Linked DNA regions of Arabidopsis thaliana. The protein of the gene in region 2 interacts with the protein of the main gene of each other region in a biochemical or structural test. Each region holds a gene or a part of one and is shown on either strand. Other genes may lie near its edges.

Region 1 (9,719 bases), on a different chromosome or scaffold from region 2:
ATACACTTAACAAGTAGAAAATATTAATGCAGAGATTAGATATCATTCTTTAATATAAATATGTCATTATAGTTTCATGTCATCGTTACAATAAAAAAAAAGAGAGCAAAATAATAATAGAAAACATACGTCCACTAAATTAGTGGAAACTTTCGACTTTGCTTGCTTTATACTCTTATGCATACATTTCATTATCAAAGGGTCCACTATTTTTTTTTTTGTATACTCTTTAAGAAAGGTGTTGTTTAAATAATACATTCTTAACTATAATTGCTTAAATTATATTTACACATGTATACATTATACATACGCCCGTTGTTCTTTATAGAAAGCTAACGGTCCTTTGGCACCGTTGACATATAATCACATGCCGATCGAAGATAAAAGAAAAGACCCATTAGAGAATTATGATGAGTGACAACTAAGTATGTGCTTTATTCTAGATTTTAGTGAACAGCCTAAAATATACTATTGAAAGTATGTAGCGTTTTAAACTAATTAATCAAACCATAAATAAATGAACAAAAATTGTTTATTTTAAATGCTAAGTTTCGTAACAAAATAATGTTACTTATGAAAGAGACTTCAACTTGATATTTTAATTGAATATTCCCTAAGATTGCATGAAGAGATGAAAGTTCTTGAGGTAATCAATCACATATAAGATTTTTTGTAAAGAAAGAAAAGAAGAAGATTCATCAGCTTACTAAAACGGTAGGAAATAGATTCACAGATATTATATTCCTCATCATCACATTATAGTCTTGAATAGATGTCTCTATCAAAAATATACTTATTAATTATAGTGAAAAGTCGATAATTTAATTTGTTATATGATAAAAACAAAAGAAAAAACACTTGGAGAAATTTATAAGTGAGGAACGCTCAATATTTTACATTATTAATTTTCACTCTTTTCTTGCATATTTATTCTAGCTTTAACTAATAAATACATAGTGTACTTGAACATTTTGTTATAAGATAGTGAATAGTAGAAACTATCTTCAAACTCTGCATAAAAAATTAACAAACATTTTTTTAATATATTCAAACACAGCTGATAGTAGTATATTTGAGTTTTTTGTTTTTTTGTTTTTGTTTTTGTAAAACCTGTTTGTTAATCACGACAAAACTACATCACATTCCCACAAACGCTAAAATAAAAAATAAGACAAGGTAATCGTCATATTTGAGCTATGATATATATATATATATGTTTTTTTTTTTTTACTTTTTTTTTTTATAAAGGCTAACTATTTGTTTTTTGTTTTCAAATACTACTAGCATATATAAGATCTTAATTTTTTGTGTGTTAAATATTATATTTTGAGTTTCAACTGTTATTAGATCAACAGTATCTATCTCTTTTTTTAACACAGTATCTATCCTTACGCAGAATATATCCTCAAAATTTGGAACCAGAGATGTGAATAATGAGTAATATAAGAAAATCGTGCATGGGCTTGAATATAGTGTGCCTTATCACAGGGGACAATGTCGATAAATTTTGCATGCATGTCTCATCTGGTTCTAAAAATTTCATTATAAATATCACGACTGTAACAATGATCATATTATGAAAAATTTCTAAGTTTATATCAGGAATGATGATTGACGATAATGATGATAACTACATGGGATTTTATCTGCGTTACAAGAAATCAAGGACGCATGCAACTTTTTCATCATTCTGTCCTTTCTTCAACTACCATTTGAATTTTCATTTATTATAAGGTATGTTCTTTAAATTATATACCTTCCTTTGTCCCGAAATTAATTAAAAATGGGACTGGATATGTACTTCCACTTCTTAATTTCATATGTTATTTTTAAAAATGGTCGAAAAATGTATAACAATACGCATGCAAAATTTTCTTTGCGCCAAAGTATTAAAATGGCCTGCAACTGTACGGATAAACCAATTTTCAAATGATAATATTTGTATATAATGTTTCTGTATACAGGGGCGGACCCACGTTAGTCTTGGGTGGGGCATGTGCCCGATACTCAATTCTATAAATCTTATATAAGTTTGCATTATGTAATTAAAAATGTATTTAGTTTAGTGGTTTTTTACTTAATGGTGCCCCACATTAACCCAAGTTTAAACCTTGCTGATGTCTTTTTATTGATTTTTTATAACTGTACCCATATAAGATTATTTCCTGGATTAGCCATCTGTATATTAATAAATCGTTTCCTGTGGTTGTGCGATGCATAACCGTCCAAGAAAGTCGTATATTTTTAATACATGTGTTAAAATAGGTTTTAAGTGAGAATTTTTTTAACTTGTGGAGTGTGGAGTGTAGAGTGTAGATGTACATTACCTATATATTTATCCAATTCTGTGTAATAAAGATGTTGGGGCGGCGCCTGCTGCCACATACACATTGGATTAGAAGGGCAAAAGAAGTTCTAATAAGGAGCAAACTAATAGCCATGAAAATTATGAATTTACCATACTGAAAACAAAGGAATTAAGGTTTTGAATTCAATACTTGTTTTGTTATATATGATGTTGATGTGACGTATTTGTGCGTTTCTCATAGTGACTTTGAAAGGAAGGCTAAACGAATTTGCAGTAAAAGTAACAGAAGAAACACTTCAAAATTGAATTAAAATGAAGAAAAAAAAGAATGAGAAAAAGTGAGAAGTGGTGGTTGTCTGGTATTAAGGGTACTCACTTCTCTCCTTTTCAACACAGCCCGACACACATGTCTCTTTTTTTTTTTTTCATACACACATTTCTATTTATTAGTTTCCTAAAATAAAAATTATAAAACAAAAAGCACACCCACCCATAAACTAAAGCTTTTCTCTCTCATCCCACTACAAATCTTATATACAAGTTTCGCAAATCTTGACTCTTCACGTTGTGGATCTATCTAGAGAGATAAGTAAGAGAGAGGAAGAGTAAGGAAGAAAGTGGTTGAACTGTAGCAGAGTCTGAGGTTTGAATCTTGTAGTTCCCATTGAAGCATGCTTCACCGTTTTTTCCGAAGGAAGTTACTCATCCACTGAGAGAGAAAGAGGGATTTGGAGATAGAGAAAGAAATTTCTCAGATGGGTTTGTGAGAATTCACAGCAAGAGCAAGAAACTCCTATATCTTCCTTTGCTTCCAGAGACCAGCGTGATCAAAAACAAATATTTTTACGGTATCTATAAGAATCCTCCCCTCTTTTTCTTTTTCCTTAAAGAGAATTTTTTTGCATCTTTCTTAGGTTCCAATAAATATGCAGAAGAAAGTTAAAATTTTTGTACCGTCGTTGAACCTTTTAAAGACCTAATTAAGAGACAAGATCATACTAAGCTCATAAATCACTTTCTATTTACACATATATAGGTTATTAATCTTAAACAAGATCTATATTTTATCTTTGAGATTTTTCAAGATTTCATCAAGTGTCACGTTCATTCATTGATTACATTTCAAATTTCACTAAGAAAGTTAAAACACGGATCTTTTTGAGAATATCAAGAAAGTTCTTTGAAATATACCAAAAGAAATCAGTACTTTCAAGAATACATAACTTTTTAGGTTGTGTTAAATAATATTTGCTTTTGTAATAAAGGAACAAAATTAAATAGAGAGATCGGAGAGGATCAAAGATGGGAGGAGGAAGCAATAATAGTCACAATATGGACAACGGGAAGTACGTGAGGTACACTCCTGAACAAGTGGAAGCTCTGGAGAGACTCTACAATGACTGTCCTAAACCGAGCTCTATGCGCCGCCAACAGCTAATCCGCGAATGTCCTATCCTCTCCAACATCGAGCCTAAACAGATAAAAGTCTGGTTCCAGAACCGCAGGTTCAATTTCTTCTTAATTCTCATCATTTCTTGACACCCAAGAAACTTTCTAGGTTTATAACTCTTGGCGCTGTGAGTTTATACAGGTGTAGAGAAAAACAGCGAAAAGAGGCGTCACGACTTCAAGCTGTGAATAGGAAGCTAACGGCAATGAACAAGCTTTTGATGGAAGAGAATGACCGCTTGCAAAAGCAAGTGTCTCACTTGGTTTATGAGAACAGCTATTTTCGCCAACATCCTCAAAACGTAGATAGATTAATTTATTTGATTCATTCACATTAATTAGTTGACACATAAGTTAAGGAATTGAAATAGTCTGTCGCTCTCAGCAGGGGAATTTGGCTACCACAGATACTAGCTGTGAGTCAGTGGTGACGAGTGGTCAACACCACTTGACCCCTCAACATCAGCCTCGTGATGCTAGTCCTGCTGGGTAAGTTAGAACCAACAATTCTTGGCTTTAAATAACATGACACACTTTTGAGTCAGTTTTTGTTCTCTGCCACCATTTAAAGCTTCTATATATCTTTGTTAAATCAATGAATCTCTTTGAGTGTATCTCCAGATTATTGTCCATTGCGGATGAAACTTTAACAGAGTTCATTTCCAAGGCGACTGGAACCGCTGTCGAGTGGGTCCAAATGCCTGGGATGAAGGTAATTCTCATAAGTCTATCTCGTCTTCTTTTATCTATGATTCAATCATTTTCACTTCCTTACTGACTAATTTCATCTGCAGCCTGGTCCGGATTCCATAGGAATCGTTGCTATTTCTCATGGATGCACGGGAATCGCTGCTCGTGCTTGCGGCCTTGTGGGTCTTGATCCCACAAGGGTAAGTACTATTCTCACTTCTTTCTAATAGGTACATCCTCATAGATCAACCAAGAACATAAATCACATTTCTGTTTTGTTTTTTTCGCAGGTCGCGGAGATCCTAAAGGATAAGCCTTGTTGGTTGCGTGATTGCAGATCTCTGGATATAGTTAACGTACTATCCACTGCAAATGGTGGAACCCTTGAACTAATCTACATGCAGGTATTGATGATCAAGAACCCTAAAGATGATTTTATCTTCAGCACAAACCAAATAATCGAATCACACAAAACTAAATTTTCCTCTCTTTCTTTCTCATGAAAGCTTTATGCGCCGACAACACTGGCACCAGCTCGTGACTTCTGGATGCTACGTTACACATCTGTAATGGAAGACGGGAGCCTTGTGGTAATTATCCTCTTAACATCGATGCTTTGTTTCTCTTTTGATCATTCGATGATACTAATTTAAGATGTTATTGCAGATATGCGAACGATCACTGAACAATACACAAAACGGGCCAAGTATGCCTCCGTCTCCTCATTTCGTTAGGGCAGAGATTTTACCAAGTGGTTACCTCATTAGACCTTGCGAAGGAGGTGGATCCATTCTTCACATTGTCGATCATTTCGATCTTGAGGTAGCCTCACAAGTTTTATCATTTTTTTCTTCTTACACAAGAAACCTAATTCTTGGTCTAAAACTGAAGTGTTTCCTCTGTTTTCACAATTCGTTCTTTATCTCTAGTCATTATTATATACTTTTTGGTGCCAATGATATATATTCAAATAACCTGGTTGAAATCGTTTGTAGCCATGGAGTGTGCCAGAAGTTCTTCGTTCTCTCTATGAGTCCTCCACTTTACTCGCCCAAAGAACTACAATGGCCGTAAGATTCCTAATTAAAGACACATTGTTTTTCATGTATTTGAAAAGAAAAAAACTGTGTGTAAATAACTTATGGTGTTTGCAGGCTCTGCGCTATTTGAGGCAAATATCTCAAGAGATTTCACAACCTAACGTAACAGGTTGGGGAAGAAGACCAGCGGCTCTTAGAGCACTTAGCCAAAGGCTTAGCAAGTAATTAGAGCTTCTCACACTTCAAAAACACTTTTAAAAAAACATTACGTCTTCTAAAACCTAAAATTGTTTTTGTTAATGTCAGAGGATTCAACGAAGCAGTGAATGGGTTCAGCGATGAAGGATGGTCCATCCTAGAGAGTGATGGTATCGATGATGTCACTCTTCTTGTGAACTCCTCTCCCACAAAGATGATGATGACTTCAAGTCTCCCATTTGCCAATGGCTACACTTCTATGCCTAGCGCGGTCTTATGTGCCAAAGCTTCCATGTTATTACAAGTAATTAAGCTCATCAAATCTCAAAGTGAGATTCTCAATTTACTCCCTTTCATCCATCACTAATATTATTTTTGTTTGTGTAGAATGTTCCACCTTCGATTCTGCTGCGGTTCTTGAGGGAACATAGACAAGAATGGGCAGACAATAGCATCGATGCATATTCGGCCGCAGCCATCAAAGCAGGCCCTTGTAGCTTACCAATCCCTCGCCCAGGGAGCTTTGGTGGTCAAGTCATTCTTCCTCTAGCTCACACTATAGAGAATGAAGAGGCAAGTACTCTACTAAGAGATTCTCAAAGTCAAATCAATGTAACTACGTTTTTGAATAAACTAAGTAAACTAATGCCCTTTTATGTCCTCTGTTTTCCAGTTTATGGAAGTCATTAAGCTTGAGAGCTTGGGGCACTACCAAGAAGACATGATGATGCCTGCTGATATCTTCCTTCTGCAAGTAAGACCTAATTTTCATTTGTGCCAACATGTGAAAAATAAATAGAACAATTTTTTGACATCTGTTTTGAAATGTGTTTAAAATCGCAAAGATTGTGTGGTCTCATTTGAAAAACACACACACATTTCTAAAGGCAAACACCAATTCAAGATTATATCTATTTTGATAATTTTTGCTCATTGATAGACTCTATAGCGAGACGTTATTAGTCTTGTTGCAACTACTCAATTTTATGATTCTAATATATATAATTTTGTACTGTTTGATGATATAGATGTGCAGTGGGGTGGATGAGAACGCAGTTGAATCATGCGCAGAGCTTATATTTGCACCAATCGACGCATCTTTCTCTGATGATGCACCAATCATTCCTTCCGGTTTCCGCATCATTCCTCTAGATTCCAAATCAGTACGTTCAATTCATATAACAATCAAAATCATTAACTTTAGTTGAATCAAATACTAATTTATAAATCGAATTATGTATAGGAGGGGTTGAGTCCTAACCGAACGCTAGACCTAGCGTCGGCTCTAGACGTAGGGAGCAGAACAGCCGGAGATTCATGTGGAAGCAGAGGAAACTCAAAGTCCGTTATGACTATAGCGTTTCAGCTAGCTTTTGAGATGCATATGCAAGAGAATGTAGCCTCAATGGCTAGACAGTATGTAAGAAGTGTGATCGCGTCGGTTCAACGGGTCGCACTTGCTCTCTCTCCTTCTTCTCATCAGCTAAGTGGCTTGCGTCCTCCACCCGCGTCACCCGAAGCTCACACTCTCGCTCGCTGGATCTCTCACTCTTATAGATGTTACCTTGGCGTTGATCTTCTCAAACCTCATGGAACTGATCTTCTCAAGTCTCTTTGGCACCATCCTGACGCTGTCATGTGTTGCTCACTCAAGGTAATTTTCTTACTTCTACTCACTCAAGAACATCGATTATGCTCATACATAATCTATAACAAGGAAAGTGAACTGGTTTTGATCATTTCAGGCCTTATCTCCGGTATTCACATTTGCGAACCAAGCTGGTTTAGACATGCTGGAGACGACGTTGGTGGCACTTCAAGATATCACTCTCGACAAGATCTTCGACAACAACAACGGGAAGAAGACTTTATCCTCCGAATTCCCTCAGATCATGCAACAGGTACGTTAAACCGAGTCATGCATTTAGTTAGCTTAAGTTAGAAAAAAAGAAAAGAAATTGTGTAACGGTATTGATGAAATCATAAATACTAATTAGCAATAATAAATGTGAAGGGGTTTATGTGTATGGATGGAGGAATATGCATGTCGAGCATGGGAAGAGCAGTAACGTACGAGAAGGCTGTTGGGTGGAAAGTGTTGAACGACGACGAAGATCCTCATTGTATCTGCTTCATGTTCCTCAACTGGTCTTTTATATGACCTTTTTTCCATGTTTTTCCTTAATTATCAAAACACAGACCTTTTTTTCCGGAGATATATTTATATATACTCTTACTCTTAGTTAATTTGTATTTAGTTATATCATCTCTAATTTTGAAAGAATTTACTTACTTTTATGGTCTTTGCAACACTCTAGTCTCTAGTTTGTGTTAGCCTGTTGTTGATAAGGCAAGTTACGTTTGGAAATTCATTTTTTCTGGTATGGAAATTCAATATTTTTTCTAAAATTGGAACATTTACTTCAAATCCACTAGTCTTGCCAAGCCTAAAGGCTGTTAGAAATAACAAGTGAAAAGCCCAAGACAATTTGGTTCGTGACGACAATGGTTTTTTGTGTATCGTCCTAAGAGTAACAAGTGAAAAGCCCAAGACAGTTCAAGTGAATTCTTCTTTGAAACTTTTACATAATCCTCTAAACACATTGTTCATGTTCATGGTTTGAAAAGTTGTTAATATATTGATGTCAAAAAAAGGAAAAAAAAGTTGTTAAAGATGACGGCCCAAACAAAGGCCAAATAAGCCCGACAAGGAAGAAGACTGACGTATGGCAATATCTGCCACGTGACCGAAGAATCCATTCCCGAGACTCACATAATAAATTCTTAAAGCTATTTGATTCGTATAACGCTTGTAATTAATGCTGTCGTTTCCAATACATTTTTAGAGAACAATTCTTCGTGGTTCACATCCTTTTAGAATATTTTTATGGTTGATATTCTTTTAGAATATATTTTAAATTTGTCAAATACTTTACTTTTATTGTTTGCAAATCAGCTGCAACGGACGAAAAAAATCGAAGCTAAAATGTAATGGCAGAATAATATAACGTACGAATCCAATTTTATTTAATTTCAACTAACATGAAACCCACCAACTAGTCTTACACGTACGGTAAAAACACACAAACGAAGAAAGAAAAAGATATTACAGATTGAGTTCCATTTTGTTGGCCATATGTTGAAGGCAAAAGTCAACGTATGATTCGAGGTCTTCCTTCTTCCAACCATCAACAGGATCGGCAACAAACGACCACTCGATTCGAGACACTTGATCTTCACCGTCCACTGGCGTTACTTGGACTGTCGCCACGTAAGATCTAAACCCTACGTTATTCTCGAGGATCTCATAGCTCAAACACCGTCCAATGGGATCGATCTTGACCAGCTTCTCTTTAGCCCACCTGCTTCCCTCTTCCTTGGTTTTGGTGGTGGAGCAGTATCGGATCAGACCCGGTACACCATCGGTTCCTTGGACTCGGTAACACGTATCGACTGATGGGAACCACTCTTGGACGTTGCAGAAGTCAGAAAAAACCGACCAAACTTTCTCAGCCGTGACACCGTTGACTTGAGCGACTTTCTTACCCTCCCACTTAAACGACACCGTTTCCGTTCCCATTTGGCCTACGATTTTGCTTCGATGCAATGTTTGCTAGGAAGAAGAACCTATTTATATGCTCAAAGCAAGCGAGCGTGTGGTTTGATATAATTACAATTTTACCCTCGTTCTTGTTCTCACGTCTTGACATTTGTCGACGTGTAAGTTCAACTGATCTTTATCGCTTTATTGGACAAAATGTCAAAACCAAATCTATTCCATTTGTCTAACTCTCTGGATATAGGACTGTCTCTTTATATCTATGATTACCTAAATTGATACTTCTTTTTTTTTTTTTTTTTTTGTCAAAGAAATTTATACTTCTTTTAAAATGTTGAAATTCAACTTCTTTTGGATACACTTCTAAATATTGCATAAAAGAATCATACTGTATTAAATTAGATCTGCTTACATGTTAATAGTTTAACTTTTTTACTAATCAGGAAATCACACTTGTTATGAAATGGTAGGTAAC
Region 2 (6,100 bases):
TATATATATAGAGCTAATTTGTGTGTTTATTTGACAGAGTCGAGTGTACCAAGATAAGTTCGACAAATGTGGTCCGGTTTATATTAACATCGGAGATGGTGGGAATCTAGAAGGCCTTGCTACCAAGTAAGATCTTCGTTAAATGAGATTTTTTATAAACAAAATTTGAAAATGAAACTAATTAAATGTTAATGTTTTTGATAATCATCATAGGTATAGAGATCCAAATCCCGAAATATCATTGTTTAGAGAAGCAAGTTTCGGGCATGGTCAATTGGTGGTCGAGAATGCGACTCATGCACGTTGGGAATGGCACAGGAACGACGATGATGTGTCGGTTGAAAAGGATTCGGTTTGGTTAACCAGTCTCTTAGCCGATTCATCTTGTAAGATTTAGACCCCCTCGGTTCGTATTCTTGAATGTGGTTAGGACTTGTTCCTCATCATTGATTCTATAAGATTATATGTTAAATGTCGATGTAGAATCGTAGATACTAAAAGTACTTATATATAGTATTGAGTATTGACAACAATATCAAAACAGGACACAAATGTTTTGATACCAAGTCAATTAAGAATTATATCTCATTTATATTTTAAGTTGTTATATTTTCTTTGTTGCTTTTCAACTTTTCAAATCCTTATCACTTTTTGCATATTGCTAATTCATATCAAACTAGATTTGCTTGTTGAATCGTGAGCGTCGATATTTATCCATATTTAAATGAAAATTACTTCTGTAGTAGTCCATCCAAACATCTGTAGTAGTCCTTTATTTAAAAGTTAAGATGTGCAATGATAATGTTTGCATGCAGTCTAATATGAACACACTTTACACCTTATGAATTCTGAATCGTCTGGCGCAAACATCTAACCACCAAAAACCTAAAAAAACAATCAGAAGAACGAAGAATGGAGAATAGAACAGAGAATCATTTATGTGAGATTTGATTTACCTAACTCTTCCGCCACCACCGACGCAGCAGATGATGCGACATCAATCGCCGGTAAATCAATCTCGGGTATAGCAATCGAACCACTGCGCACATCGCCTTCGAGGTGGATGTGGACTCCTTCAAATAAAGAGATTTCAGTACTTTTCTTGTGCAAAAGAGGCATGCTCCATCATACAACATGAATGTATACATACAGTAGTACGTAGCAAAATGAAATATACGTCATATAAACACAAACTTATATAGACTTTTAATCAGTTAAATTACGGTATATTTTTTTAATTCGTTTGTGTTTATATTATAAAGTTCAAAAAAGATTAGGTTAGATTAACAAAGGAGAAAATAACTAGAAAATTCCAATTAATTAATAAAAGCGAAATATAGTTTCTCTGAATGGTAATCTAATATTCTATACCAAACATTTACTACATTAATAGGGGTTACCAAAACCGAATATTTGAATATTCTTAGGTTTTTGAAATTTACATGGTAAAGAGACAAAGTTTTCAACCTTTTTGGGGTGTGAAAATTGGTCCGACTGGGTTATGATTAACCAAAATTAATCCTAGAACCAACTATATTTATAAATTAAAGTTTCATTTTATAAATAAAAATCAACACCAAACCGAATTGTCAAACTTAGACCAAAGCAATGAGGGGTAGAAACGGCATTGCATAGGCCAGCAAGAAATGAAGCTGCTCACACCTTTAAAATCATTGCCTTTGGTGTAAGCAAGTGTACCCACTCTTTAGTTCCATTTCAAGACACACCTACTTAATACTAATTGTGTTTCAGTTTTGTTTAACTTCTACAATCAGCATATTTACAAAAAACACAATTTCTCACATTTATTCCGTGAAAGAAGGGTTAAAAGAAGCCGTACAAGATTTATATACACAAGCCAAAGTAGTTTTAAATAAACGTGAAATTGTAGTCATCTTCTTTTTGGGGGTTAAGTCATGGGCAAACGAACGAGTTTTATTCAAAGGCATGTGAAGTTACGAAAAAAAGAGAAGTCATAAATACATCCAAAAACAACCACCTCACTGTTTATGATGTTTCACGTTCTACAACACTTTTGATCCATGATTATTTTTTGTAGGTTTTACGGCTCCAAAGTCCAAACACTCTTCTTCTTCATTATTTCTTTCTTTTTTTCTTCTCCCACCATAATTATATCAAATCTTGAATGCTGAGACAATATAAGAGGACAAAAAAATGCATTTTCAAATTGTGGTATACTATGATTTTCATACAAAGAAAAAAGTAACAAATAGTTTAACACACAAAGGAAACTATTTGTATCCGAAATAATAATCTAAAACATAATAATGGTGGAGTGTAATATTTGAACTAAACCAAGATTGAGCTAACCGGGACATGAGATGGGGAAAGAGAGCATTTACAAAATGGTCCAAAACGGTTGAAATAGAATCATGAAGGATGATGGTTCGAACCAATCTTTACCATCATTGCGAATCTTTAGAGGTCGATGGCCTCTTCTACTATAGCCCCTCTCATTAGTCCTACACAAATGACAATATTACCCTCCTCTGTACTACTTCCTTCGTAATGACGTAAATACCCTTACTCTAGTTCTTTTAACCGAATCTTCTGTTTAGAGGACGAATACGATGAAGAGCCAAAGGAAGTGCTAGGGGATCTTTCGGAAATTACGAAAATATCCCTGAAGATCAATTTCGAAAGAAGAGCAAGCAAGAAAACTCCTTTTTTTTTTCTTCTCTCTCTCTAACTTCTTTCTCTTTAATAAATCATCATCATTCACATGACGCAATATGCACAAATCTCCTCTCTCTCTCTCTCTTCTTGCGGCCGCCATCTATGCAGAAACACAACACAATGCATGATTGTTGTGTCAGGAGAGAGAAGGTTCTTTCTCTTTCTCTTTAGCTTTTGGGGATCTATATAACAGACAGTGTCTCACTTTGTTCTCTTTGTCCCTCTACCTTCTCTACACACACAAACTAGCGTCTCTCTTCTCTCTCTCAATCTTTCTTCGTTATCTCTGCTTCTCAACACTCCTTCCCAAAAGGTATAACCTCTATTCTCCTTCTCTCTCTCTCACTCTCTTACTGTTCTAGAAGCTTAACGTGAGTTTTCTCGACATGCTCTGTTTCTGTTTCTTGCTCTGTTATCTATCGCTTTTGCGTTCATACGTTAAGATAATAGTTATGTAGTAACGTCACACGTACAACTAACGTGAAGACAAACCCTTAATTTCTCTCTTTTTCTATGTTAAAACTTTTTCATCTTTTAAAATATTCCTCAATGATGGAAAGTTTTTAATCTTTATCTTTTTCTTTGAGGCAACCGAAATAAATAAAAAAAATTGTTTGATTTTTCTTTTTAATAGTCTGTATTGCTACGATCACCATCTTTGTTTTGTTGCTTACTCTGTTTTTTTCTAGCGTTTCAAATATAATCATTACTCTCTCTGTCCATAGAGGTTAAAACATTTATAATTACTGCATATATATCATCATGATTACTTGTTTTTATCTCTTTTCTTCAATTTCTTTCTCTTTATTAGCTTTATCTTTTTATCCTCCATACAAATTTATAATCATGTTCTTCTTCTCTCTTTGATCATTGATTTCATAAAAAGAAGAAAAAGAAATTCACATGAAAACGAAATAAATGCGACAAATGATTTTTCCTATAGCTAATGTAATTCACATCCGACGTGTGAAGCTGCACAACCCATGTGTGATGTAATGATTTAACATGAACAATAATAATCATAACACAAGCTTTGGTTTTATTGATATTATTACTCTCTTTTTCTCATTTATTTTTCAAAATTCGTAATAATACTTTTGTTTTGTTTTACTTGTAGCAAGAAAGCAGAAATGGAGAGGCTAAACTCGAAGCTGTTTGTTGAAAACTGTTACATAATGAAAGAGAACGAGAGACTAAGGAAGAAAGCTGAGCTTCTGAATCAAGAGAACCAACAGCTTTTGTTTCAACTCAAACAGAAACTCTCCAAAACTAAGAACTCTAACAATGGATCAAACAATGACAACAAATCAAGCTCTGCTTCTGGACAATCTTGATTTAAATCAAGAATACGTTAGAGCAAGAGATCTCGAATCCGTACGTAGGAGAAGATTAAAAGAAGACCCAACCTTTTGGAAGTATTTTATTTTGTTTGGTGTATTATAGGAAGATAAGTAGTATCGAGCACTGTAGTAGTTATTATGAAAAGAAGATTCTGTTTTATTACAAGAAGACAGTGTCTCTCTGTTAGTCTTCTCAGTCATATTTTTACTTTTGTTTCTATTTTCTATGTTAATTAAAGATCCTCTGGTGTGGGGTTGGGGACTTTAGGATATGGTTGATTCTTGGACTAACATTTTGTACCTTTGCTCCATTTATCAAATATTGTCAAGTGCATATCAATCAACTAATGTATCGTATATAACATGGGGACAAGTTATTCGATTTTTATAATCATATACAAAACGCATTCAATATTGATATATCATCTCATACAAAAACAAAAGTGACCCATTTTGTCCATGATATTTTCCGATCGAGTAAGACAGTAAGTGGAAACTGAATCGTTGAATTGACACTAATTATTCATCAGGATTAGCAAACACTTCTTAAGTATAAATAGGTCTATGTAATTTTCAAGTAGACTAGAGTAGAGGAAATGAGGAAGAAAAACAATATTAATAGTAGTGTTTGTGTATATATAGTCTACATGTGTTGTAGCAAGTTCAATGAAAGCTTTATCCTAACATTCTAAATTGAAATGATTTAATTATTATGCCATGTGCATCTGAACAATTTAATTATTATGGTTCAAACCAGTTGTTGATAATATTGGTCATGTAAATCATTTCCTTCAACAACAGTAATACTGGATAAAACCTCAGAATGGATAATATCAGAATACTATAGCTTTAAATAGACCAAAATTGATGCTACGTCAAATTTACACACACTCTTGGGTTTGAATATGAATTATAAACTCCAGTCACTCTCTAAATGTGTATATCTATTTTTTTTTTTTTTTTGTTATGATGGATGAATTGAGCATAAAATGTTAACTAATTAATTAAATTTTTAAAAACTAAATAATTTCCCAATATTCGTTTGGAATATATATTTTCCATTTAGAAAATAAAAGAAAAAGGAGGGCAGAAGGTGTCATGACATGAGATTCAAGCGGCTCTGTCCAGAGAGATGAGACAAGGGGCTTTTCATTCGGATTCTATGTGACGCCATCACACACACCCCTACAAGTTATTATTATATAGTATTAGTCAAAAAACTATTCATTTTCGTTTGAAAAACTAAACTACGAGTTCTCTGCTCTTTTATTTGACTTCTATTTTTCCTACAACTACTTTCTAAACATCAAGTCATTTCACATTTTTTTTTTCTTTTTTTTTTTCAATTCTTCACATTTTCAATAAAAACTTGAATATTTTCAAATTGGATTTAAAATAATTTGTTTCCTAAACATTTTATAATGACAAATCAAATTCTTCATATGAGGTCGATAAACAAAACCTTATTAAATTAAGGATATACCAATATTGGAGCACTATACTTTAATGTGTCCTTTAATTTTGTTATACATCAATGTGTCCTTTAGTTTATTTCGTGGAAATATGGGAAAACAAATATAAGTGAATAATAAAAATTATATTTTTAGCAAAAAAAACCCCGTAAAATAGATATTTATAATAATACAAATAAAGTAAGGAGTATATAGACATACAAATGTTTAGCTAGGTTTATTTGTCAGCATTTTTTTTTAATTGCTTGTATAAGCTTTTCTTGTCAACTATGTGTAACTATATCCTGTCATAATTATACTAGTTTAATAGAATTTACTTTAACTTGAAAAATTCCCACAAGTAATGAGTAAATAGACAAAAAGTTTTGGATATACTTAACACATATTTTAAACATCGCAAATACGGATGCAATATCAATAGTAACATTTGGTATGTTCTTGCATATCAAAATGTGTTCGACAAAAATAGACTAGAAAAACAAGGAAGATGTCGCATCGAACTCAAGTGTTTGTGTGAAAAATAAAATTTGAGGCGAAGAAGAACAATCATGATATAATTGGCCGAAATGAATAATCATCATATATCATAAA
Region 3 (9,018 bases), on a different chromosome or scaffold from region 2:
ACTATTCACTCTATTTGTAGTTTTTTTTTCCTTATCATAAAAGCATCCAAAGCGTTTTAAAAAAATCATTGCATAATGTATAATGTGTTATGGGTGAACAGTCAAAATGCAAATTGCTAAACAATTTAGTACCTAGGCTTTATATTTGAATGAGTAAATGCTGTGTGTTTAATGTTTATCAATGCATTAGTGGTAGATTAAACATGGGTTGAGACTTGAGAGCATATATCTCCACCATAAATATTCAGTCGTAAGTCCAAATATTTTCTTGAAAACAACATTTGAAATGTCATAATAACAAGTACCATTTGGAATTCTATTACAAAAGAGTTAATCCATATAAGTCATATAGATTTTGATTGGTAAATTGGTAACACGATAAAAAAAATGAATGAAAACCTACTTTCACAATCTTTTACTTGTCAGATAATTTTGAAAACTTTTTTCTACAACTTCTTTTTTCATTTGCTTTGATTATGCGATGATATTAACAAATGAAGGATGCGACTAAACCTTCACAACAATGAAAACCAAAAAAAAATCCATTTACCATAGTTCAAACTTCAAACACGGTATATAAATGGTGAACATGCAGGAGTTAATAATCCCTCGTGATGAGGAAAACAAAACTCAAAACTCAAAAGAAAAATGTTTTGAGTGGCGCGAGAAGAAACCTCGTAATATTGTGTAGTTAAATAATGTTAAGTGGTGTTTTATGAAAAGAATACAACTTGAAAAGCATTTATTTTGCGTGTATTCGATGGAGAAAAGTATTTAGTAGTTGTAGCCTTTTATTGAAATAAAAATGGTTAATTGGGTGTCGAAGAAAAGGATATAGGGAGCTACGTGTGGTGGTATCTGCCATGTAGAAAATCGAAGCGCATGCACAAAGTTGGACTCATGATGAGACTTCACATGACCACCTTCATTTATTCCTCCTACTCCTCTCTCTCTCTATGTACAGTATTAGTATTAAATTACGTATATAAAAAAAAAAAAAAAATATTACGTATATATAAAAAAAAAAAAATATTACGTATTTATTTTTTGTCCTAGCGTATAGACACGTAGACCGTAGTTATAAGAAGTTAGTCGTTTGTCCGAGCATTGATTTTGTACAACTCTTACAGAACCTAAAACAGACTGTACTTACCAATGCCAAACTTGTCTGTCTTCTCTTTCTATTTATTTCTTGACTCAAATTTGAATCGAATATATTCATAATCTGACCAGAAAAAACCAAAACTCTAATAAACAAAAAAGCTTTGAAACTAACAAAGCGAAGCCAAATTTCATAAAAGAAAGTTTAAACACACAAAAAGTCCTAATTTGAGGCATTTTTTGACAGGACTAATAACTTTATATTTCAAAAAAATAAAGTCCCTTTCACGCTTCTCACGCGCTCGGTGAGTGACATTCCCACACCATTTTCCTCATGCATGCAACATTTATCATCATCATTATCATAAACCTAATGCATACAAAGATGTACGTAGATATACACATGATGATATATTGTACATGCAACATACATCAGCATCAGCATATGATGAACATCAGAAAGAAGGAAAGAGAAAGAAACTTATGTGATGTCCTTCTCACAGAGCTAAAGACAACAGCATTTTTTTTTCCCTAAGTTAGCAAAATACCCATTTCGTCAAATATCCGTTTCTTCTGACAACAATTTCTTCGAATAAAACATAACAATATTAAAAAGAAAAGGTAAAGAAAAAAACAAAGATTGGCCTGTCTTCTCTGCCTCCATATTAAGTTAGTTATTTTATATGTATTTTTATCATTACTGTTGTGGGTAGAGTAAAAAAAACAGATGGGTTTTGCAGAGACTGTTTTGCGTGTGTTGGCTTTTCTCCTTTATTGTCTTTCCCCTTTTTTATCCTGCACCTTATTTTAATTATTTCTTAGCTAATTTTTTATTGCTACAAATACTAGAATAATTTTATTTTATTTTTGCATCACAAGTTATAACCAGAAGAAACTTATGTAGTAATTAGTACACATAAAACTCAATTGCATTTTCTTTTTACATTTTTTTTTTTTTTTTTTTGGACAAATCATTTTCTTTTTACTAAAGTAAATGTTTTTAGTGAACACATTGAGTACAAATATGGACACAAAGTATAAATTATTATGAGATTTTGCAGTAGATATTAATTTATTTTAGCTATGTAAATAAAACCGTAAAAGTAAAAAGCTTTTATCAAATTCAACCCACCTGGCGTTTCAGTTTTCATTTTTTTTTTACCTTTATGCTGTTTTTATGTTCTTGCAAGTCTTTCTCGCGCCACACAAAAGAAAAGTAATTTCTTTTAGAGTTATGTTTTATTTTTTTTGGACCATGTCTTAAAAGGATCTCGAGATTGGCGTCTGAGATAAAGACCTCTACTTTGCTTCCTTTATCTTGCTCCTCTTATCTCTTCGCTTCTCCTTCCTCTCCTCTCTCGCCATTGCCCTCTGGCGTTTTCTGTCTTGAGCTAAAGAAATAACAAATAAACCGAAAAAAATAAAAATAGAAACTTTTTTTTTTGTTTATTTGTTCTTTCTCCAAAACTCCTTTTTTTTCTCACCATTATCTCATGAACGTGAGTGGAGGCTCTCTGAGTAGAGAGAGCCTACCCTTGAAAATAACCTAGGGATTTCTCCAATTTTCAAGCTTTACCCATTCAAAAGAATCGTCCTTTTTTCCTATTTCTGACTTTGAGCTATGATGATGGTCCATTCGATGAGCAGAGATATGATGAACAGAGAGTCGCCGGATAAAGGGTTAGATTCCGGCAAGTATGTGAGGTACACGCCGGAGCAAGTGGAAGCTCTCGAGAGAGTTTACACTGAGTGTCCTAAGCCAAGTTCTCTAAGAAGACAACAACTCATACGTGAATGTCCGATTCTCTCTAACATCGAGCCTAAGCAGATCAAAGTTTGGTTTCAGAACCGCAGGTGAAATTTCATCTTCTTTCCTTATCAAAGTTGTTACCTTTTGTCTGTATTAATTGTTTTCTTACCATTAGATTATCTTTTTGTTTGTATATGAGTTTATGAAGATGTTAAATGTTTTTCTTTCTTTGACTGGTCAGTTGTATTTAAGTTTCCTTGCTGTTCTTATCTGACAAGAATTTTTTGGATCTCAGTGATCATTTTGTTATGAGTTTTAATCGTCTTCTAAATCTCTTTAAAGCAAGAAACTTTGTTTACCATATGCTTTGACGTATCTAGTTGGTTGAATATCTAAATTCACGAAAGTGACATTTAATCAAATTGTCTTTGAATGCGTTTCCAACATTTATTTCTGTCAAAAGCTTAAGATTTTCTGCCAGAAATTATGATATGATAAAGGGGAAAAATTTACATTATCTTTTCTTCTTTATATCATTGGATGTGTTTTATAAAGACAAATGGTGTCTGTCTCTGTTCATCCACTAACATTTCTTCCCATCATCCATGCACATTTGGCTTTTATGTTGGCTTAGTTGGTCTAACGAAGCTTCCTTTTGATTTTTAGATGTCGTGAGAAGCAGAGGAAAGAAGCTGCTCGTCTTCAAACAGTGAACAGAAAACTCAATGCCATGAACAAACTCTTGATGGAAGAGAATGATCGTTTGCAGAAGCAAGTTTCTAACTTGGTCTATGAGAATGGCCACATGAAACATCAACTTCACACTGTAAAGTTCACTTTTCACTATTTTCTGTCTCTAAAACTCAATTCTATGAAGCATTTTGTTTGAAAGTTGTTATCTTTTTTTTGGAATGTAGGCTTCTGGGACGACCACAGACAACAGCTGTGAGTCTGTGGTCGTGAGTGGTCAGCAACATCAACAGCAAAACCCAAATCCTCAGCATCAGCAACGTGATGCTAACAACCCAGCAGGGTGAGCTTTTCTTGTCTGCTCTATAACTCTCTAATGAATTCTGTTTCCCACTCTGTGACAACCTAAATGGTTCTTTTTTGTTTAGACTCCTTTCTATAGCAGAGGAGGCCCTAGCAGAGTTCCTTTCCAAGGCTACAGGAACTGCTGTTGACTGGGTTCAGATGATTGGGATGAAGGTAATACTTTCTGGCCTGAATACTCTTAAAGTTGTATAATCTGATTTCTATTCTTTAGTTGTGTCTGAAGATGAAGTTGTTTATGATTATTTGATGAACCTTCATTGCTGGTGTAGCCTGGTCCGGATTCTATTGGCATAGTCGCTATTTCGCGCAACTGCAGCGGAATTGCAGCACGTGCCTGCGGCCTCGTGAGTTTAGAACCCATGAAGGTAAAGAGTGCGATTTGTTACGTTCTGGCTTGTGTTTATAATCATTAGCTTACGCTAGTCTTGATTTGAAAACAAATATAGGTTGCTGAAATTCTCAAAGATCGTCCATCTTGGCTCCGAGATTGTCGAAGTGTGGATACTCTGAGTGTGATACCTGCTGGAAACGGTGGGACGATCGAGCTTATTTACACGCAGATGTATGCTCCTACGACTTTAGCAGCAGCTCGTGACTTTTGGACGCTGAGATATAGCACATGTTTGGAAGATGGAAGCTATGTGGTGAGTTCTTGAATCTGCTTTTTCTGTTATGTAGTTTCTGTTTTAATACTTTTGTCTTCACTCACTGTCTTCAGGTTTGTGAAAGGTCGCTTACTTCTGCAACTGGTGGCCCCACTGGGCCACCTTCTTCAAACTTTGTGAGAGCTGAAATGAAACCAAGCGGGTTTCTCATCCGTCCTTGCGATGGTGGTGGTTCCATTCTCCACATTGTTGATCATGTTGATCTGGATGTAAGTGACAACTCGAATCGGTTCATAACACTTCAGTTCTCTCTTTATAATATGATCATGACTTTGTTTTTTCGGTTTTGCAAGGCCTGGAGTGTCCCTGAAGTCATGAGGCCTCTCTATGAATCATCGAAGATTCTTGCTCAGAAAATGACTGTTGCTGTAAGTTCAAATACCTTTATCCAAACTGTATATGACCTGAACGACTTGGTATGCTGCAATGTTTCTTAAGTTCGGAGTCTTATTTCAGGCTTTGAGACATGTAAGACAAATTGCACAAGAAACAAGTGGAGAAGTTCAGTATGGTGGAGGGCGCCAACCTGCGGTTTTAAGAACCTTCAGTCAAAGACTCTGTCGGTAAGTATCTACTTTACTTAATAGCTTTATCACCAAGAATTTCTTTTATTCTTATTCTAATTGTTCAATATGGATGAACTTTCAGGGGTTTCAATGATGCTGTTAATGGTTTTGTGGATGATGGATGGTCACCAATGGGTAGCGATGGTGCAGAGGATGTTACTGTAATGATAAACTTGTCCCCTGGGAAGTTTGGTGGGTCTCAGTACGGTAATTCATTCCTTCCAAGCTTTGGTAGTGGCGTGCTTTGTGCCAAGGCATCTATGTTGCTTCAGGTACATGTCTTAAGGATTTGATAATAAAAAAACTAATATTCTGTTTCTGTCTGTTTCTAACTAACTTGCATCTTTTTTTTTTTGTTTGAAGAACGTTCCACCCGCTGTGCTGGTTCGATTCCTTAGAGAACACCGATCTGAATGGGCTGATTATGGCGTGGATGCTTATGCTGCTGCATCGCTCAGAGCAAGTCCTTTTGCTGTTCCTTGTGCTAGAGCTGGGGGGTTCCCAAGTAACCAAGTCATTCTTCCTCTTGCGCAGACAGTTGAACATGAAGAGGTACTTTTATCAAAGAATAACACAGCTTCACTTTCTCCTCTCTCTAAATACGTGTTATAGTCCTGAAACCTTTCTTGGTTACTTGTTTCAGTCACTTGAGGTGGTTAGACTTGAAGGTCACGCTTACTCACCCGAAGACATGGGTTTAGCTCGGGATATGTATTTGCTACAGGTTTGACTTCATACTTTAACTCCAAAGTTTCTATGCTCCTTTGTTCTCTTCATGACATTTTGGATTCTTGATTCTTGTCTAGCTTTGTAGCGGTGTTGATGAAAATGTGGTTGGAGGTTGTGCACAGCTTGTATTTGCCCCTATCGATGAATCATTTGCTGATGATGCACCTTTGCTTCCTTCCGGTTTCCGCATCATACCTCTTGAACAGAAATCTACTCCGGTAACATGTCAAAAAGCCATTTAAGGATCAGTCCCAAATCATTTATTCTTGACGCAATATTCTAAATTTCTAATCCTTCACTGTCATATAGAACGGTGCATCTGCAAACCGTACCCTGGATTTAGCCTCAGCTTTAGAAGGATCCACACGTCAAGCTGGTGAAGCCGACCCAAATGGCTGTAACTTTAGGTCGGTACTAACCATAGCATTCCAGTTCACATTTGATAACCATTCAAGAGACAGTGTTGCTTCAATGGCACGTCAGTACGTGCGAAGCATAGTAGGATCGATTCAGAGGGTTGCTCTAGCCATTGCTCCTCGTCCTGGCTCCAATATCAGTCCAATATCTGTTCCCACTTCCCCTGAAGCTCTCACTCTGGTCCGTTGGATCTCCCGGAGTTACAGGTACTTCATTATCATTAGCCTCTAGGTTTCTGCTTTTGTTTACATGATCTATGGAGTATTTTATCTGAATTTCTCTTCTTTTCTTTTTGGCTTTGTAGCCTTCACACTGGTGCAGATCTCTTTGGATCTGATTCTCAAACCAGTGGTGACACGTTGCTGCATCAACTCTGGAATCACTCTGATGCAATCTTGTGCTGCTCCCTCAAAACAAACGTAAGTAACAAGGCTTCCCATTCAGATTTTGTATTTGTGACTAGAACATGTTCTTGAGATGACTGACATAAATTCTCATCTGTAGGCTTCACCGGTTTTCACATTCGCAAACCAAACCGGTTTAGACATGCTGGAAACGACTCTTGTAGCCCTTCAAGACATAATGCTAGACAAGACCCTTGACGAACCTGGTCGTAAAGCTCTTTGCTCTGAGTTCCCCAAGATCATGCAACAGGTTTTTGTTTTTTCTTGGGAAACATTTTGACATTTTCTTGGAAAAATCATTGTTTGACTTGGAATCTAAATTTTGTTTTACAGGGCTATGCTCATCTGCCGGCAGGAGTATGTGCGTCAAGCATGGGAAGGATGGTATCTTACGAGCAGGCAACGGTGTGGAAAGTTCTTGAAGACGATGAATCAAACCACTGCTTAGCTTTCATGTTCGTGAATTGGTCGTTCGTTTGAAGAATAATAAGAAATAAGAAGACCAGATTTTACTCCATTTTTCCCTTGGTAGGGAGGTTATTTATGTAAGATATTAAAGTTAGGTGCCACTATGCTCCAAAGTCTTTTGAAATTCGAGGACCAATATGTAATATGACGAATGTCTGATCTTGTATGGATTGTTCTTGTTCCTATGTTACGTTATATGGCAAGATTATTATGATAATGTTATCAAGTTTTTTTTCTTGTGCTCGTTTGCTTTCACAAGGTGACTAGTTTCTATTTTCAACTACCTATTTATATGACCATCTATGTCTAGTTTGTCTACTATAGGGGGTTCTTGTTTGACGTGTAGTTTTTTCTTTCCCTGAATGTTTTAGTTATGCTGCTAAAATTTAGCTCTTTACTGAAGTCTCATAGTTTGTAGCCAAAAAAAAAGAAAAAAAAAAAAATATATGAGTTAAAATTTCGTAAATATCTAATTGGACAAAGAAACTATATTAAGTTTTGGAACATCTAACAGGCTAATAATAATGATGTTTCATTTTTATAAAGTAAGAAAGATAGATGAATGAGCTAGCTGGTTACGTTGTGCAATTTTGGAGTATGTATATCAATAATTATAATAAAATAGAAATATATGTATTATTGATAAGATATTATGTTAGATTTGGGTATTATTGTTTTGTATAATGGAGGGTGGTCCAATTTGAATACAGGTTCTAGTTGTGCGAAGCCGTTAATAGCACTGCAAACAAACTTAAAGATTAGATTTGCATGAATCTTCACAATAAATGAATACATCATGCCTATTTATAAATTGATCGTACACTAAAAAAAAAAAAAAAACGTATACTGAAATCGTATCTATCATAAGAAAAGTAAATGATGATGATGCCTCCTACTCTTTAGCTTATAGGCAGAGAAACCTTTTTTTTGTCAATGAAACCTATACACGTTTTTTTCTCTGTAGTTGTCTATTTTAATGAAAATTTTAAATGTTATCGTATTCTACTGAGAAAGCCACCATTTTGGTAAAAGACTGTAGCAGAAAAAAATGGTTAAAAAAAGTTTTTAGAAAAACGGTGGAAGTGACCATTTTGGTAAAACGGTCGCAATAACATTTCCATAATTGTAGGAAATAAGTTTATCAAGTTGCTGCGCGCCTCTCCTTTAGCTTTAGTAAAGATGAATAAATAATTCATAGGATATCGAAAAAACGATACTGCTTTAATAATTAATATTATTGTACTAAACATTTAATCATAATTTTGTTTCTTCTCATAATTTTGTTTCTTCCCGTGTATATGCATCGGGAACAATACATTTCCTTCCCATTTCACTAGAACTTTTGAAGGCACCACCAAGTTTCTGGATTTTGGAAAAACCACTGATGATGGTATATTACATAAGGCAACATCAACTTTGTAGCCTCTTCCCTCCATGGCTCTATCACCATAAGAAAACTTTAAGGTCATGTCTTTGGCTTGCACAATCCATTGACAATAGATTACTATATATGAAGGAGCATTATTAAGCAATAGTATGTTATTGACTTGAATAGTTTGTTTATCTATAAAATATATAATAACAAAAATCAGAAGTGAAAACTATAATATCTAAACTACTCTTCCGTTCCATTTTAAATGATATTTTAATAGTATTATGATATATCATATATTAATGGTATTAAATAAAAATAATAATTATGATATATCATATATTAATGGTATTCTTCCGTTGAGGGAACATAAGTTATGATAAAAAAAAATTAGTTATCGTGTAATCTCCTAGATCCATAACATCATAATTTACCGTAATTTTTATTTATTAATTCCATGAAATTTAGTCTTGATATCAACTCATGTAGC

Evidence for each region. Proteins that work in one complex are often made in the same cells at the same time.
Region 1: the proteins of ZPR3 (region 2) and HB-8 form a complex in vitro, tested with the Arabidopsis thaliana proteins (one study listed by BioGRID).
Region 3: the proteins of ZPR3 (region 2) and PHB form a complex in vitro, tested with the Arabidopsis thaliana proteins (one study listed by BioGRID).

The regions. Positions count from the first base shown.
Region 1 is NC_003075.7:15,861,714-15,871,432, reverse strand, and holds HB-8 (homeobox-leucine zipper protein ATHB-8), read left to right. Parts: upstream 1-2,782; 5' UTR 2,783-3,156; intron 3,157-3,573; 5' UTR 3,574-3,610; coding exon 3,611-3,813; intron 3,814-3,899; coding exon 3,900-4,059; intron 4,060-4,142; coding exon 4,143-4,246; intron 4,247-4,378; coding exon 4,379-4,469; intron 4,470-4,551; coding exon 4,552-4,647; intron 4,648-4,737; coding exon 4,738-4,851; intron 4,852-4,953; coding exon 4,954-5,037; intron 5,038-5,113; coding exon 5,114-5,269; intron 5,270-5,442; coding exon 5,443-5,517; intron 5,518-5,601; coding exon 5,602-5,708; intron 5,709-5,793; coding exon 5,794-5,989; intron 5,990-6,072; coding exon 6,073-6,258; intron 6,259-6,358; coding exon 6,359-6,439; intron 6,440-6,713; coding exon 6,714-6,848; intron 6,849-6,928; coding exon 6,929-7,339; intron 7,340-7,430; coding exon 7,431-7,586; intron 7,587-7,699; coding exon 7,700-7,846; 3' UTR 7,847-8,094; downstream 8,095-9,719. Other genes in the region: AT4G32870 (Polyketide cyclase/dehydrase and lipid transport superfamily protein), read right to left, coding at 8,792-9,265. UniProt on the Arabidopsis thaliana protein: Probable transcription factor involved in the regulation of vascular development. May promote differentiation of precambial and cambial cells.
Region 2 is NC_003074.8:19,555,822-19,561,921, reverse strand, and holds ZPR3 (binding protein), read left to right. Parts: upstream 1-2,598; 5' UTR 2,599-3,010; intron 3,011-3,814; 5' UTR 3,815-3,827; coding exon 3,828-4,031; 3' UTR 4,032-4,406; downstream 4,407-6,100. Other genes in the region: PAP20 (Purple acid phosphatases superfamily protein), read left to right, coding at 38-126, 214-397. UniProt on the Arabidopsis thaliana protein: Competitive inhibitor of the HD-ZIPIII transcription factors in shoot apical meristem (SAM) development. Acts by forming non-functional heterodimers. Part of a negative feedback loop. Involved in SAM development and lateral organ patterning.
Region 3 is NC_003071.7:14,637,698-14,646,715, reverse strand, and holds PHB (Homeobox-leucine zipper family protein / lipid-binding START domain-containing protein), read left to right. Parts: upstream 1-2,360; 5' UTR 2,361-2,722; coding exon 2,723-2,955; intron 2,956-3,517; coding exon 3,518-3,677; intron 3,678-3,768; coding exon 3,769-3,884; intron 3,885-3,969; coding exon 3,970-4,060; intron 4,061-4,176; coding exon 4,177-4,272; intron 4,273-4,353; coding exon 4,354-4,551; intron 4,552-4,625; coding exon 4,626-4,781; intron 4,782-4,865; coding exon 4,866-4,940; intron 4,941-5,028; coding exon 5,029-5,135; intron 5,136-5,220; coding exon 5,221-5,410; intron 5,411-5,501; coding exon 5,502-5,690; intron 5,691-5,781; coding exon 5,782-5,862; intron 5,863-5,944; coding exon 5,945-6,085; intron 6,086-6,176; coding exon 6,177-6,490; intron 6,491-6,588; coding exon 6,589-6,703; intron 6,704-6,788; coding exon 6,789-6,938; intron 6,939-7,021; coding exon 7,022-7,168; 3' UTR 7,169-7,393; downstream 7,394-9,018. UniProt on the Arabidopsis thaliana protein: Probable transcription factor involved in the determination of adaxial-abaxial polarity in ovule primordium. Specifies adaxial leaf fates.